Kluyveromyces lactis: one gene and its partner. The protein of the gene in region 1 purifies or fractionates together with the protein of each later gene. This does not show direct contact. Links are inferred from orthologs where the notes say so. Each region holds a gene or a part of one and is shown on either strand. Other genes may lie near its edges.

Evidence for each region. The genes of interacting proteins can lie anywhere in the genome.
Region 2: the proteins of MSO1 (region 1) and SEC9 purify together in Saccharomyces cerevisiae (affinity purification with western blotting, with the first as the bait; 4 studies listed by BioGRID). This does not show direct contact. The link is inferred for Kluyveromyces lactis from reciprocal best matches to the Saccharomyces cerevisiae genes MSO1 and SEC9.

What each region holds. Positions count from the first base shown.
Region 1 is NC_006039.1:1,659,233-1,667,158, forward strand, and holds MSO1 (Mso1p), read right to left. Parts: upstream 3,876-7,926; coding exon 3,276-3,875; downstream 1-3,275. Other genes in the region: KLLA0_C18700g (uncharacterized protein), read right to left, coding at 1-2,901; KLLA0_C18711g (uncharacterized protein), read left to right, coding at 3,088-3,252; LYS9 (saccharopine dehydrogenase (NADP+, L-glutamate-forming)), read right to left, coding at 4,278-5,615; KLLA0_C18755g (uncharacterized protein), read left to right, coding at 5,680-6,036; OCA4 (Oca4p), read right to left, coding at 6,644-7,669. UniProt on the Saccharomyces cerevisiae protein: Involved in secretion. Component of the secretory vesicle docking complex.
Region 2 is NC_006040.1:170,557-177,040, forward strand, and holds SEC9 (Sec9p), read right to left. Parts: upstream 4,992-6,484; coding exon 3,321-4,991; downstream 1-3,320. Other genes in the region: MDM1 (Mdm1p), read right to left, coding at 1-459; TMA23 (Tma23p), read right to left, coding at 680-1,228; ECL1 (Ecl1p), read left to right, coding at 2,561-3,007; TIF6 (translation initiation factor 6), read right to left, coding at 5,351-6,088. UniProt on the Saccharomyces cerevisiae protein: Component of a SNARE complex that may be the effector of SEC4 function in exocytosis.

The DNA of each region.
Region 1 (7,926 bases):
CGATTGGATCGCATACATGTATCTTTCGATCTCTTTGAATCCATACTCTTTCACTAGTTCTCCGACTAACAGGATCCCCTTTGTGTTGGCGGCGATTTGGGCCTTCAAATCGGATACGTTGTCAGCAAGCTTACGCGACCCACTACAACCAGGGTACTGTGCCGGTTCATCGAAAAACAATTTGACGACTTTCGCTTCGTCGAATATACCATCTTCTACCAACTTCTCACTGTATATGGCGGCACCTTCCTCGTACAACTCTCTTGAAAATGGGGGCATGGAACCAGGTAAGGATCCGCCGATATCTGCATGATGCGCTCTTGACGCTACATAGAACAAGATACGAGTCGCATCTTTGGGGTCGAACGCTGGTGTGATTACAGTAATGTCCGGTAGATGTGTACCACCCATCTCCGGATGGTTCGTCATTATTGAGTCGCCTGGTTTTAATTTACCTTCCCAGAGTTTTGCTTGCATCTTTATGCAAGTTGACATCGAACCCAAGTGCACTGGAACGTGAGGTGCGTTAGCCACTAAGTTACCATCTTTGTCAAATAGTGCACAAGAGAAATCTAGCCTTTCCTTCACGTTTGTCGATACAGACGTCTTTCTCAACTGATTACCCATCTGCTCTGCAATATCCATGAACCTGTGTCCAAAGATTGATAATAACACGGGATCAATTGTTTCTGAAGCTTCTGAGAGAGCCTTACTGGTCTTAGTGTTCTTTTCGATCTTGATAAACAGATGTGATTTTAAAATCGTAGCCGTTGAGTTTGGTGTCAATAAGTTAGTTTGGGTACCATCAGCTATGATGGCAGGTCCTTGTATTTTAGTGCCGATCTCCAAATCATCCAATTTGTACATAGGAGTCTCAACCCACCCTTCACCGAACATAACAGGTTTCCTGAATAAAGGTTCAGGAGCAGCCTTTGCTACCAATCTCTGTAGTTGAGAATCAATGTACTCTTCTTCTCTTACGTTGGATACACCAGTGGCCCTTACTCGCACATCATCCACTATGATCGATTTATCCTCAAACTTGAATCCAAACTCCTTTTTATGTAGTTCATGGAATTGGTTTGTGTAGCTTGTATCTCCCGATTCTAAGACCATTAAAGCGGTTTCTGTACCCTCATATCTCAAGTTCAAATATTTCTCCAATCTGATAGTCTCAGTGTTGAAGCCTTGTTGCTTTAGCGTGTCAATACATTTGGATGTGAGCCTATTGAATTTATCCTCAATCAACGCATTTGTTTCGCGATTACTTTCATCTAGCACGTAAGAACAAGGCTCTCTAGACTCTTCAACCACATCCGCAAGGAACATGCCATACGCAGAAAGAATGGAAGAATAACGATGAATCAAAACTGTATCAATTCCTAATGTTTCAGCGATGGATACGGCATGTTGACCACCAGCCCCACCAAAGGAAATAAGACGATGCTGCGAAATCACATGTCCTTTAGCCTCGGTCAAAGTACGGATTGGCCTAGCCATTGACTCGTTCGCAACTTTTAAGAACCCATAGGCAACTTCATCAACGCTCATCGAGGAATTTAGATCGTTGTTGATCTCTTCAGTAATCTTTTCGAATAATACCCTAGAAGCTTCAACGTCCAAGGGCTCATCTTCGTTAGGACCGAAGATATGTGGGAAAAATTCTGGAACTAATCTACCAAGATACAAGTTCGCATCCGTAATGGTCAATGGGCCTCCTTTACGGTAACATGCAGGACCCAGATGCGCTGTAGCTGATTCAGGGCCCACTTTGAAAAGACCATTGCTCCAAAATAATCTGGAAGATCCACCTGCAGCAACTGTATTGATGTCTAGTTGTGGAGTTTGAATCACGATTCCAGCAGTGGTGGTTTCGAACACATGTTCCAAGATACCATTACCATACCTGCTGACATCTGTAGATGTTCCACCCATATCAAACCCGATTAATGGGATCTTGTTCTCTGGATTGTAACATGTCGCAGAATATCCCACCACACCGCCTGCAGGTCCCGAGAGAATGGCCCTTAAACCTGAAAATTTATGTGCATCAACAAGACCACCATCTGATTGCATAAATTGAATACTAGTGTCTTCTGCTTTGTCCAAACCTGACTCAATTCCTTCGAGGTACGATTCGATCACTGGAGTCAAGTAAGAATCAGCAACGGCTGAATTTGCCCTCGGAATATACTTGATCATAGGCGATAATTCAGAAGATAAGGAAACATGAGTGAAACCAATCTCTTTAGCGATCTTATAAACCTTTTGTTCATGTTCTTGGTATGTATATGAATGTAAAAAGGCAACGGCCAATGATCTAATCCCGGTAGCATACAAAATGTTCAAAGTAGTTCGAACTTCTTCTTCATTAATTCTTTGCAACACTCTAACAGTTTCTCCAGACTTGCCTAACACGAGATCATCTTCTGATTCCGGCCGAGTCCTCTTACCCTTTGGATCTTGAGCATAATCTGCTAGCGTTACTCTCTCATTGACTTCTACAACAGTCTCATATAGAGGTCTAGGTCTCTTGATAGCCAAATCAAAGATATTAGGCCTAGTCTGATCTCCAATTACTAATGCATCCTCGAAACCTTTAGTAGTGACTAACGCACATCTTTCTCCGGTTCTTTCCAATGCACAATTGGTTGCTAGTGTGGTACCCATCCTAATGGTATCAACACCAGAGATATCTAGATTCTGACCTCTAGGTATCGATTTACCTTGACAAATCTCGAGTAAACGTCTTATACCTTCCAATGGAGCGTCTGGGTAGTTCCTAGGGTCTACCGATAACAATTTGATAACAACATCATCCTCTGGATTGCCCGACCCAGGGTTTGCAATACAGTCCGTGAAAGTACCACCTCTATCAATGGCTATCTTAATCTTCGACATTCCTTCAGTTCAGTTCGGATTCACAATTCCAAAGGTTCTGAATATCTGAAATAACAATGGATTGCAGGTAGTATATCTGGCCTAATCAATGGCTGTAACTGAAACTGCAGCGTAAAATTATTGTCTTTACCCTTTGTGAGAGTCTTTTCCTTTATTCCAAGTGTTTCCTCTGTGACTTCAGGTTTGATGAACTCCAGGTCGCTTTTAACCGGGGTCTACAAATTCGATGCGAAATACGTAGAAAGGATACAAGAGGACCCGCAGTATGGCCCCAAAGACCTCATATTGTATCAATCTCTAACTGGCAACTATGAAATACAACACTCTAATGTGCTGTTTTGTCTTACTTGAATCTACATAGCATTGAATAAACTTTAAGCATCCAAGTTGGAACTGGAATTGATTCTATTCATGCGAAGTCTGCTCTGCATTAGTCTAGATGAAACAGAATCGTACTTGCTCGATTGAGTAGACACTGTAGGCCTTGGTGCGGTACCTGATGAAGGCTCGCTCATGAAATTATGAGACGTATTTGATAATGTGGACGACGCCTGCGACGTCACATTCGAATTTGAAGAAGATACGAGACCTCTGAAAGCAGAAGACCCGGGAGTCCTTCTTTGAGGTACGGACCTGGATTCCTCTATTGAAACAGGTATTTCTGATTGTGAAACCTTTTCTGCACCACTACTATGCCTATTAGAAGAAGAGAACGGTCCAGTGATCTTTTGCTTCACAGACCCAGACAACTTTTCCTCTGGTCTGTCTCCAGTATGACCTAACCATGCCGGGAACCCTTGGAACGGTTCCTGGCTAGAGTAATACTTCACTAGAGCTTTGTGTACCAACGTTGAATTTGGTGTATCGCCATCATGTTCAGTTTTTACTGCTAGATGTTGAATGGATGAGGATAACGATTTCGTTCCTGACTTCACTTTGCTCCACAGATTACCGGACCCATTGCTATTCGACATGATCGGCTCCAAAGATGTTTCACTGCTGAATATGTAAAGTATACCGATGGACAAATGTTCTGATTCGCTTCGTTCAGTTGATCCTTGTTAGTCCTGTATGTTTTCTTACAAGTAGTTGTTGAGAGTATTATAATATGTAACTAATTATAATTATATGAGAAGAGATGCCAAACTGTAACTGATACAAAAAGAACACTCCAATAACACACTATAGACAACACCCACCAGTACGATACGTGCCACAAATAGTAACTCCAAAGATAACGGGATTTAAAGCAATATAGCTACTTTGTTGATATACATACGTACACGTTAATATATATAGAAGATGGGAAAAAGAATCATGCAATTCACTACCAGAGAGAGCATTCTTTAGATTTCAAACCAACGTATATGAGTGCTTCAAGCAATGGTTTTCTCTTTTAGGTAAATACCGTATTTCTCCTTTAGTTCCTTCATGATAGGATCGTTGATAGCTGGAGAGTATGGAGCAACCAAACCTGGGCCCTTGATGGTACCGTCCAAGACGAATTTAGTAGCGATGGCGACTGGGTAACCGACAGTAGCAGCCATTGAGGAGTATCCACCGACCTTACCGTAGTCCACTAGAGTAGAGGTTCTAGTTTCAGTCGTTCCGTCGGCCCATTCGATACCGAACTTGTGTTGCAAGACGACTAAATCTCTTTCACCTTCTTCGTATTGCATCAATTCCTCTAGAGTAGCACACAAGGTGTCCAAGACATTACCTCTAGCGTTGAATGGCTTGTCAGAGAACAAACCTAACCAAGCAAGACCAGAAAGGATTCTTTCTCTATCGTCGTCTGATTTCCATTGTGTCTTTGAATCGATGGCCTTAATTAGATCCTCTTTCTTTTCTGAAGCAGCACCTAAGTATTGTGCAAGAGCCTTGTTCCAAGGCTGTGGAGAAGCAAACAATTCGTTTGGTTCGTCCTTTAGCATACCGATATCGACCAAAGCCTTCACGAATTCTGGGAAACCTTGATATCTTAGAGTACCTCTGATGACGGTATCAGCTTCTGGAATATGGTACAATTCTTTGAACAAAGTGGAATCTCTGTTTGGGTAACATACGAAAGAGTAACCTGGGTAGATGAAGTAAGGCTTAGCTGAGGCCATCAAATCTTCGGATGACACAGTCTCGATCTTACCATCTTTCCAGTACTTAGCACTGTTTCTCAATGCCAACAAGACACCTCTTGAAGACCAAGAGAACTTGTAACCCAATGGATTGTCAGAATCTTCTGGAGCTGGTAGACCACCACAGTACGACACAAACGACTTGATCTTACCACCAACCTTGTGCACTTCGTCAATGGTCTTGACAGCGTACAAATGGTCGATACCAGGGTCCAAACCAATTTCGTTCATGACGGTGATACCAGCTTCCTTGATAGCAGGTTCCAATTCTCTTAAGGCATCGGAAATGTATGAAGAGGTAACAACGTTCTTCTTCAATCTGATAGCAGATTGAACCACAGCTGGATGGTAAGTGTATGGGATCAATGAGATCACCAAATCGTGGTCAGCCAATGCAGCGTCCAATTGTTTTGGATCGGAAACGTCCAATGAGATGGCATTAGAACCAGAAGCTTTGGCCAAAGCTTGAGCTTTGTTCAAAGTTCTACAAGCGACGGTGACTGAAATACCATCAGTAGCGGACAAAACGTCGACAACAGGTTGAGCAACAAAACCAGATCCAAGAAGTAAAACTTTAGACATCGTTAATACGTTGGTTGCGATCACAGAAAGAGTATTTTCTTGAAGAGATGATGATCTGTCTATTATGGCAGGAAAGATAGCAGGTTGCAATTCTGTTACCTCAACTTATATAGTCACTATATATATATATATATATATATTACAAAAGTCAGTAAATCATCAAATCAACAAGAGTAGTACCAGTAGTAGCAGCTCATCAAAAACTCACTATTCCTGCTCTCTGTCGTTATCCATCTCGAGCGATGTGCCATTGAGATGGAATTTTACAGGTTCCGGTTCACCAATGTGTTTTGCGAAATTCCATTGGAATTTCGACAGCCGAGGTACAATCGAAACGGCAAAGCTAGACAGCCAGACAGCCAGACGGGGGGACCACTGGTCTGGGGACAACCCACCATCTATTAGTCATTCTACAAACTGAATGAAGCTCGATGAGGAGGGAACTGAGTTCCGATAAAGACTTGAAGACATGTATGGGATAGTCAGTGTACGTTGGTATGCACGTGATTTACGTTGAGGTATGGGGAAATCAAGTTGGTGGTAGTGGCGTGTAGGCCACTACCACCACCACCACCACTGGCATACCCCCTTAGGGCATGAACACACTTCGTGTATTTATCTCAAAGCTCATCTCATCGCCCATACAAAAATTTTTCAAAAATTTTTCACTTTAAAAAGGTCCGTAGCAGAATTGCATCCCATCTCATCTCATCACCACTTTACAACATTACATATTTGTACACATACATATTCTTTCTGTTTCTTAAACAGCATGGGACTTTATCTCCATGTCTGTGACGTATTATTCTAGATAGCCATGGTAAACGAATCCCATATATCGACTCTTAATTCTTTCCAACATGATGCGAAAGCGTCCTGTAAGCGTTAGGAGGCTGGCCACAGAGTGGATTTGTTGATCAAGAATTTAATCGTTCTTACCTTATTCACAACCTTTCTATTTTGAAGGCCAGAAACAGTAACCAGCCGTGTGTCTGTGTTTGTTTTTTTTTTATTACTTTAGAGCATCATCATATAAATATACTCTCTTTGTAGTGATTGTGTTCTTCAACGGCATGCTGTTGATCCCAAATGTCTCTTTGGAACTTGAACCAGTTCGGCAATGCCTCTTCAGTGGGGACTCCGATTGAAAATGCGTTTTTAACGTTCGATGCCTGATAGTAGGTGTACTCATTGCGTTCTCTCTTGTTGAATGCCAAACGATATCTGTTTCCGAAAATGCCTAATGCAGACCTGGAGTGTTTTATCGGAAGCTCATGTTCCTTTGCATCCTCTTCTGGTTTCAGTTCCATCGTATGGATCATGCTCATCATGTGCTGAGGTAACTCCGGAGGCATGGATAGATCAGATTCTTGCACAGTTTGTATTTGTTGCTGTTCTTGCTGTTGCTTTTCTTCCACTGAAAGATTATCCATCCGGGAAGTCACGGTGGAAGAATCTGTATCGTGGGATTCCTGCTGGTTTGGTTGCTCTTCTTCTTGTATTAGCCGTATATCTATCAATTCCAAAAACGTCTCTGCAAAGTAGTTCTTGTTCTTCCCTGTGAATAGCCTGTACTCGCTGATTATCGAGGATAGTTCCCATTTCTGAATCTTTCTCAATATTCCAATCACAGCGGACGTCTTATCCACTAACAATACGTTATGGTACGAGACATCTAACAGTATCCGGAATATTCGCCGGATGCTCTGACTCTTGATTAGCATCAAATCGTCTTGGTCCGTGAGTGTGTAACTGTAGTGACAGTTATCACAAAGACTCTTCCGTCTCGTCTCACCATGATTCGCAGAAGATTGACGCTTTTTGTGATCTGGGGCTACCAAAGAACTCGAATCACCAGAGGTCTTAATGACAAAGTAATCTATGCCGTTAGTGGCGAAGAACTCTTTGAAGAAATTACTCGGGATTTGACCACCGATGAATATGATCGTATTTAAATTCAAAGTCTCCAAAAATGATAGGTTAATGGTCTCAAGTTTACTGCATCGATAGATACCTTCCTCGGGAATCCCGAAATTCGCTGGAGGAACTAACATAGCTGATGGTTTCTATGACCCTAGAGTTGTATCTCCTCACCTGTCCCCTTGGCTTCAGCACTGATCTTTCTGCCAATCACCTTTTCTATCATTGTGATGTGCACATGAAGATCTTTGTTCCTTTAAATTTCATCAAGCTCGAACCAACTTCAAAGGGTTGTGACTTAGAGAAAGAAGGAACAAAAAGGGAAGACAACAATAATGTTTCGGTGATATGCTTATAGTGAGAGGGAAATATATAAAATGTACATGTGGAT
Region 2 (6,484 bases), on another chromosome or scaffold:
AGTGTAATGTTTCGTCAATAAAGGTAGTATTCTTAAAATCATCAACTCACAAAGGTCAACATCTGAGAGAGCAATCGAAAATCGTATTATGGCCTCTTTTAACACCGATTTCACAGTATTGGGAAATTTGTCTGATTCACTGATTGATCCAAACCAGGATAAAATGAAATTGCTGATGATGTTATTGAGTAAGATATCAATTTCTTTTGATAATGCTTCGTTATTGGGGAACAAGGCTTCTTGACCGGCAAAATTATCATCATCTGAAGTTTTGGTAATAGGTTTATCACCTGTGAACCTTAGCGTTGGTTTTGTTGGGAGCACCCGAGGTTGTTCATTTAATGCAAGATATATCCAAATGATTGACAAAAGAGACGCAACCGATAGGACAAACAAACACTCCCCCCACCCCAAGAAGAAGGGAACCACGAACAAAACATGCCACTTGAAACTGGGCATTTAGAAATTCAATATATGGACTGCTGCCAATGGAATGCTGTTAAGCCGCGTCTTGGGCAGTATCTTTTCGACAGTGGAATAATTTAGCTTGTTTACACTATTTGTTGAAAACCTTGAAATGAACTAAATGCGTTTAAATCGTCTATCTAACGAGAATTTTTATATACAACATGTACGTACAATGGAGGGATGATGCTGCAAGAAGAAAATAAAGAGAACATCAATGTGAACTTTTACGCTTGTGTGTACCCTTCTTATCCTTCTTATCCTTCTTGTCTTTCCTATGCTTATCCTTCTTGTCTTTCTTATGCTTACTCTTTGGCTTGTCAACCTTATGCGACTTCTTCTTCTTCTTCTTCTTCTTCTCGTCTTTGCTCTTTTTATCTTTCTTCGATGTCACTTCAGAAACAGCCAGTTTAACTATAGTAGATCCATTGTTGGACGGCAGATCTGTTTTAATGGTACCTTTCAACACTTCACCTCTAACAAATGATCGATAAAGTGGTGAATCGCTCTTTGATATGGAAGAAGCGACGACTTCGTTTTGTTTGAACGAGATCCCATCGGACCCGCTTTTGATGTCCAAGTTTCGAAGTTGTCCGTCGAACAAACGTTCCCACCAGGCTTCACTGTCATCATGTCCTGGTGCACATCCAAGCCCTTTCTTATCTTTCTTGTGTTTCACAAGAATCGGTTTTTTCAGTCCTCCGTTCCGTAAGGCCTCACCTTCTTGCCAGCCATACGATTTAAGGTACCCTTTACTGTCCATGGGTAATATATGGTGGAACTGAGGTATAATTATCGGGGATTCACAATGGTAGATCAGCAAACAGATCGGTAATCTTACCAATGTCAATGTCACTTTAATTGCTGTATATCATCTTCTCATCTCATCTCATCGCGAGTTGAAGAATTTCTTTTCAAAGAGAAACATTTCGATTGTGGTCACGTGAACACAGTCTTCATCATTACCCGGAGCAATAGCATCACGTGCCACGGTTTTTCTTCTTTTCCTGTGTCATTTAAGGTTGTCACCACACTGCCAAGACTTACTCTATGGAGGATCTAAAATTACTTAACACATGGGGCTACACCGTGGCTGGCTCCATGAGTTGAGGCCATGAAACGTGTACGTTTCATGCTCCGCCTGAGACAAAACCACAAAACCCCAAGAAACCTCTAATTAATTGGTATTCAAAACACACAACTCCACAGATAGACACGGCGTGTGTGTATTCTGAGTGGGCTTTAAACTCTAAACTCTAAACTCTAAACCATGTACATCAAGATCTCCGGCACGTGACCTGTGTTTAAATAATCACTCAACGAGCATATGGCACCTTGAGTGATTATAAATCCCCAATTTTAGCAAACAGGGCTGGCTGGATCGATGCCCGGTCCGAACAAAAACGTGTAGAAAACCGTTTTAAATCAGTAAACAACGAGAACGGGCGAAGACTTGCTAAAAATACACTGACAAACGTGCGTATGTGATGCTAACACCGTTCCTTTCGCTTCCTTTCGTTTCGCTGTTGCGATGAGCAAAATGGTGAAAAATTTTTTTTTTCACCTTCCCACGGTGTGGACAATGGCGTGGCTCATTCCGACCTACTGAGAAAGAGACCTCAGAGAAAGACTCCAGAGGACTCGAGTGTCATCGACAGCGATCCTGGGCGATTCGGAATGGGGCCTAGGGCTAGACACTAGGAAACCTGCGTCTTTACGATCTTGTGTCATGTGTCATGGTGCCACGATTTGTGTGTAATGACGGAGAAAAATTCCAACTCTGGCGGTGTATGTGTGCTCGTGTGCCCTGAGAACATTTTAGACGTTTTGAACATTCTCGCATGTGTGTGTGGTCATTATTATTTCATTACCTAATTGCTAAAACTCAGCTCACCTTTAGTTGAGATTAAGGCACGATGTCCATAATCTTTTTATATAATACATATATATAAGCAATATATATATTGGGTATATGGTGAAAATAGTAGCTGAGGGGATTTCAAGTGTAATCACGAGATAGATAGGGAAAGAGAAAACCTTTTCACAAGCCAGTGAAGCCGAGGATACCTGTCTGCGCAATACCTACTAGTTTACGATGTCAGCATTCAACGATTATTGTACCGTTTGTGGCCAATTGATTGAACGTGGTAATTGCGATGCTCAATTGGATAATGACAGGTTATACTGTTCTTCTCAATGTCAAGAAAATGATAGAATGACCATTGAGAATTTAAAGTTAACCAATGAGTTGGTCGGTACTCCTGCTTCTCTCATCAGATCCCCTCTTTTACAACCTTTGGATCGAAGCACCGGAAGTAGTACGTCTTCCACGATATATGATCTTCTAGATCGAGATCAAGATGATATGGATTTCGATCTGGAATTGTCACTGGATAGGAACACATTAGGACATGGGGCTTCACTTCCGATGATGACGATACCGCGTTCTGTCGTTGGGAAGGATCAAGAGTTTGTCAGTTACACGGATCATACTGCTGAGGATAACTACAAGCTTTGGTTGAACTATAATTTGACAGGATAGTTAAGAGGATTCCTGAACATCACAATAACTTTGCAATACTTAAACACAAACACAACACAAACACACTCACTCTCTTTATGAACAACACGCTATGATTATATGGGCTCTCTTATGCTGGCCCCTTTTCCTCCTCCAGGTGGAACTCCTGGCACAATCGCTTTCACACATTTTCTACATCGAAGATAGATAAGATACAGCAGTACTTTCTGATATTATATAGAATATGTTTATGATGTATACCCCCGCCATGGCGACTTTAACGATCTCACATTTTGCATTTTTTAATTAACATTTTATTTATAAGACTCTTCCTTCATCTTATATTGGTTAACCTAGTCGTGTTCACATGGATCTTGATATCCAAATCATCGGTGCTCTCCTCAATCCGCTTGATCCGATCTTGTTGAGAATCTATCTCCTTACCAGTGGTAATCGCAAGTTTCTTTAACCTACCACTGATTTGTCCAATCTTATCCAAGTTCTTGTCGATTTCCATTTCCATTTCATCATCTTCTTCGTCGTTCTCGAACTGATACCTTTTAGCCTTCTCTAAGATCTGCTGGTTCTGGTACCGATCACGAACTTCAGATGGACCATGTCCACTCGACATGGCATTCTCGATACGTTTCGTACTTTGGTGTAACGTCGACGTGATATCCTCTTGGTTTTGTTTGTCCTGCATCCTTTGTAACTTTATCTTATCTTCCGCTTCGCGTGCACGTCTCTTACTATGGAACGGATTCGATACATGGACCGCTAAAATGTTCCGGTTTAACTTCTTCAATTCACTCACTTTATCATCGGCAACTCTGTTCTGGATTTGCATTAAATTCAGGTTTCTTTCCACATTGTTCAATTTCTCCGATTGATGTCCTAACATACCGATGGTATTCATACCAGCTAATTCAGCATCCTGTGCCATCTTTAGCGTGTTTCTCGTACTGGCAACTGAACTCTGTTTTGTAAATTTGATCTGTTGCTTGATCCCATCTACTTCTTCATCTTCTTCTTGTTGTTCAGCACGCTGACTTTCTTTTTGAATATCTTCAAATGTCTGATAACCCTTTGCAGGGGTCCCAATACCCTCGTTCTCATGAATGGAATTGTTTAAATCATCATCATCACCGTTGCCATTGCGTTGAACTCCCTTAGGATTATCAATTTCTGGCCTAATTGTCTCATTGAGATCTATTTCGTCATCAGCTCCGGACCGTTCGAAATTAAATTCACGGTCGTTTGATCTGGTTGCAGATGTAGAGTGACGAGGTGAGGCATAAGATCTACTTGAAACATCAGAAGCCGCCACATTTGGAGTAAAGCCCTTATATGCATTCACGCTACCAGAATTTGAATACGAATTTGTTCCATACGGATCCTGACTGTTCATGTTAGCATAAGGGTTACTAGGTCTCTGACCGGTAGCACCATTATTATTGCTGCTAGATGCCTGCGGAGACGGACTTGCGTATGTATCACCACTATAGCTGTTACTGCCATAGCTTTTGTTGCTGTAGCTATTATTCATTGATCCATACGGGTTATTGTTCTGCTGCAGTGGCGCGTTGTAACCGGTATCATATGGAGAAGCACTTGCATTTCCATAGGGAGAGGAATCACTGTTCCCATACGGAGATGCATTATCATTGCTATATGGATCAACGTAGTTGCCCGTGTGTCGAGCGCTGGCAGAAGCGTTTCTATTGTTAATCATGGAGACTTCATCGTAAGGAGAGTTGTTCAAATCATCCAACTGCTGTCGCTCAGAAGGCTGAGCTCCAGGATTCGCATATTGTTCATATCCTTCTGGTGCATAGACCTTACTTTTGACCTTATCGTTAGCAAACTTCCCATATGCGGCAAACTTTTCTCTTCTATTTGATGGTGTAGTCTTGGTGGAAATTCCTAACTCGTTCAAATATTCACGGTTTTCTTCGGGGGTAGCCTCTGGAGGTGGCTTGATCTTGAAGAACTTCTTAATACCCATGGTTTCACTACGGTAACAGCAACCTTTTAACCTTATTTGATCGATGTTCCCCTTTTACCTTGTCTTTACCTATCTAAAAATTGATGTTAAAGGAACTACAACTTTTCGATTCTTTTGTTTCATTTAAATTTAAAGGTTTCTTTTGGGTCCAGTAGTACTTAGTGAACCACGATGCACAAAATACAAAAGAAAGAAGGAAATAAACAGTATGGGGTTGATGCAAATGCCAAAGAGCAATCAAAATAAAAATTGTACTATACAGATCCAGAGATATACACCAATATTACATTAAAAAATGGGGCGATAATGGGGGCCAAAACGATATAAATGACAGAAGAGAGCGATTGTATCAATTCCTTTTATGAGTAAGTTTCGATCAAAGTATCACGCAAGTTACCAGAGATAGCTTCTGGTTGAGCGTCTTGTAGACGGAAGATAGATTCGATCACACTTAATTCTGGAGCGGTGGTATCTAGACCAGTAACTGCCAAATAGTCGTTCACGACCATACCAGCACCGACGACTTGCGAACCACGGTTCACAGTACCAGCAACTAGTGGGACTTGCAACAAAGAGGAAAGTTCTTCTTGGTCTTGTACTGTAGTCTGAGGATGCACTAGACCACCTTGGTTAGACAACGCACAATATGAACCAACAAGAACGTTACCCGAAATTGTTTGACGGAAAACTTCAACACCTAAGACATCGGCAATCAACTCCTCAGTTTCTCTGTCGATGTCTGGATGAACCAAAGCAACATAATCATTACAACAGATAACATTACCTAACGCAGATAATCTCTCCTCAACTCTTTGAACCTTCACAGCATCTGGCAAACAGTTTCTCAAATGTTGTAATTCTTGGTCGGTAGTTTGAGTTGGAACCAATAACCCTCTACGGTTACCAGCAGTCATACGACCAACAATCCTCGTACCTGCAATAGTGGTATGAGCAATAGGAATAGCATCTCCTAATTCGGCTTCAAACGCAGAATAAAAGTTCTCCGAACCACCAAGTGCCACCAAACAGTACGAGTTAGTTAGCTTCGAAAACACACCAATTTCGTTAGAATTCTCAAATTGTGTCCTAGTCGCCATAATTTCAGTTGATTTATCTGCAGTGGTATACTGGCGTAACAAGCAGAACTAGTGTTTATAAGTCAGAAGAACTGTACTAATTCAAGCCGAATCAACCATCCGCAAGATGAGATGAGATGAGCTTAGAAATTATCCAGTGAAATCTTTAAAATTTTCCATATTGCAGTGTTTTAAAGAAACGAAACACAAATTAGGTTACCCGGAGAAGAACACACATACAGTACTATATGGGTATCTCGTACCCTTATAGATGTATAAATTTGATCAGTGAGAGTTATCCAACAACCGTTCGAAGCTTAGACGAGAAATAGCTCTCCATTTCACATTCTTTCTTCTGATCACCAGACGATTCAACGCAGGGTATACCGTACACCTGAGCGTGTTTTATTTGTTACC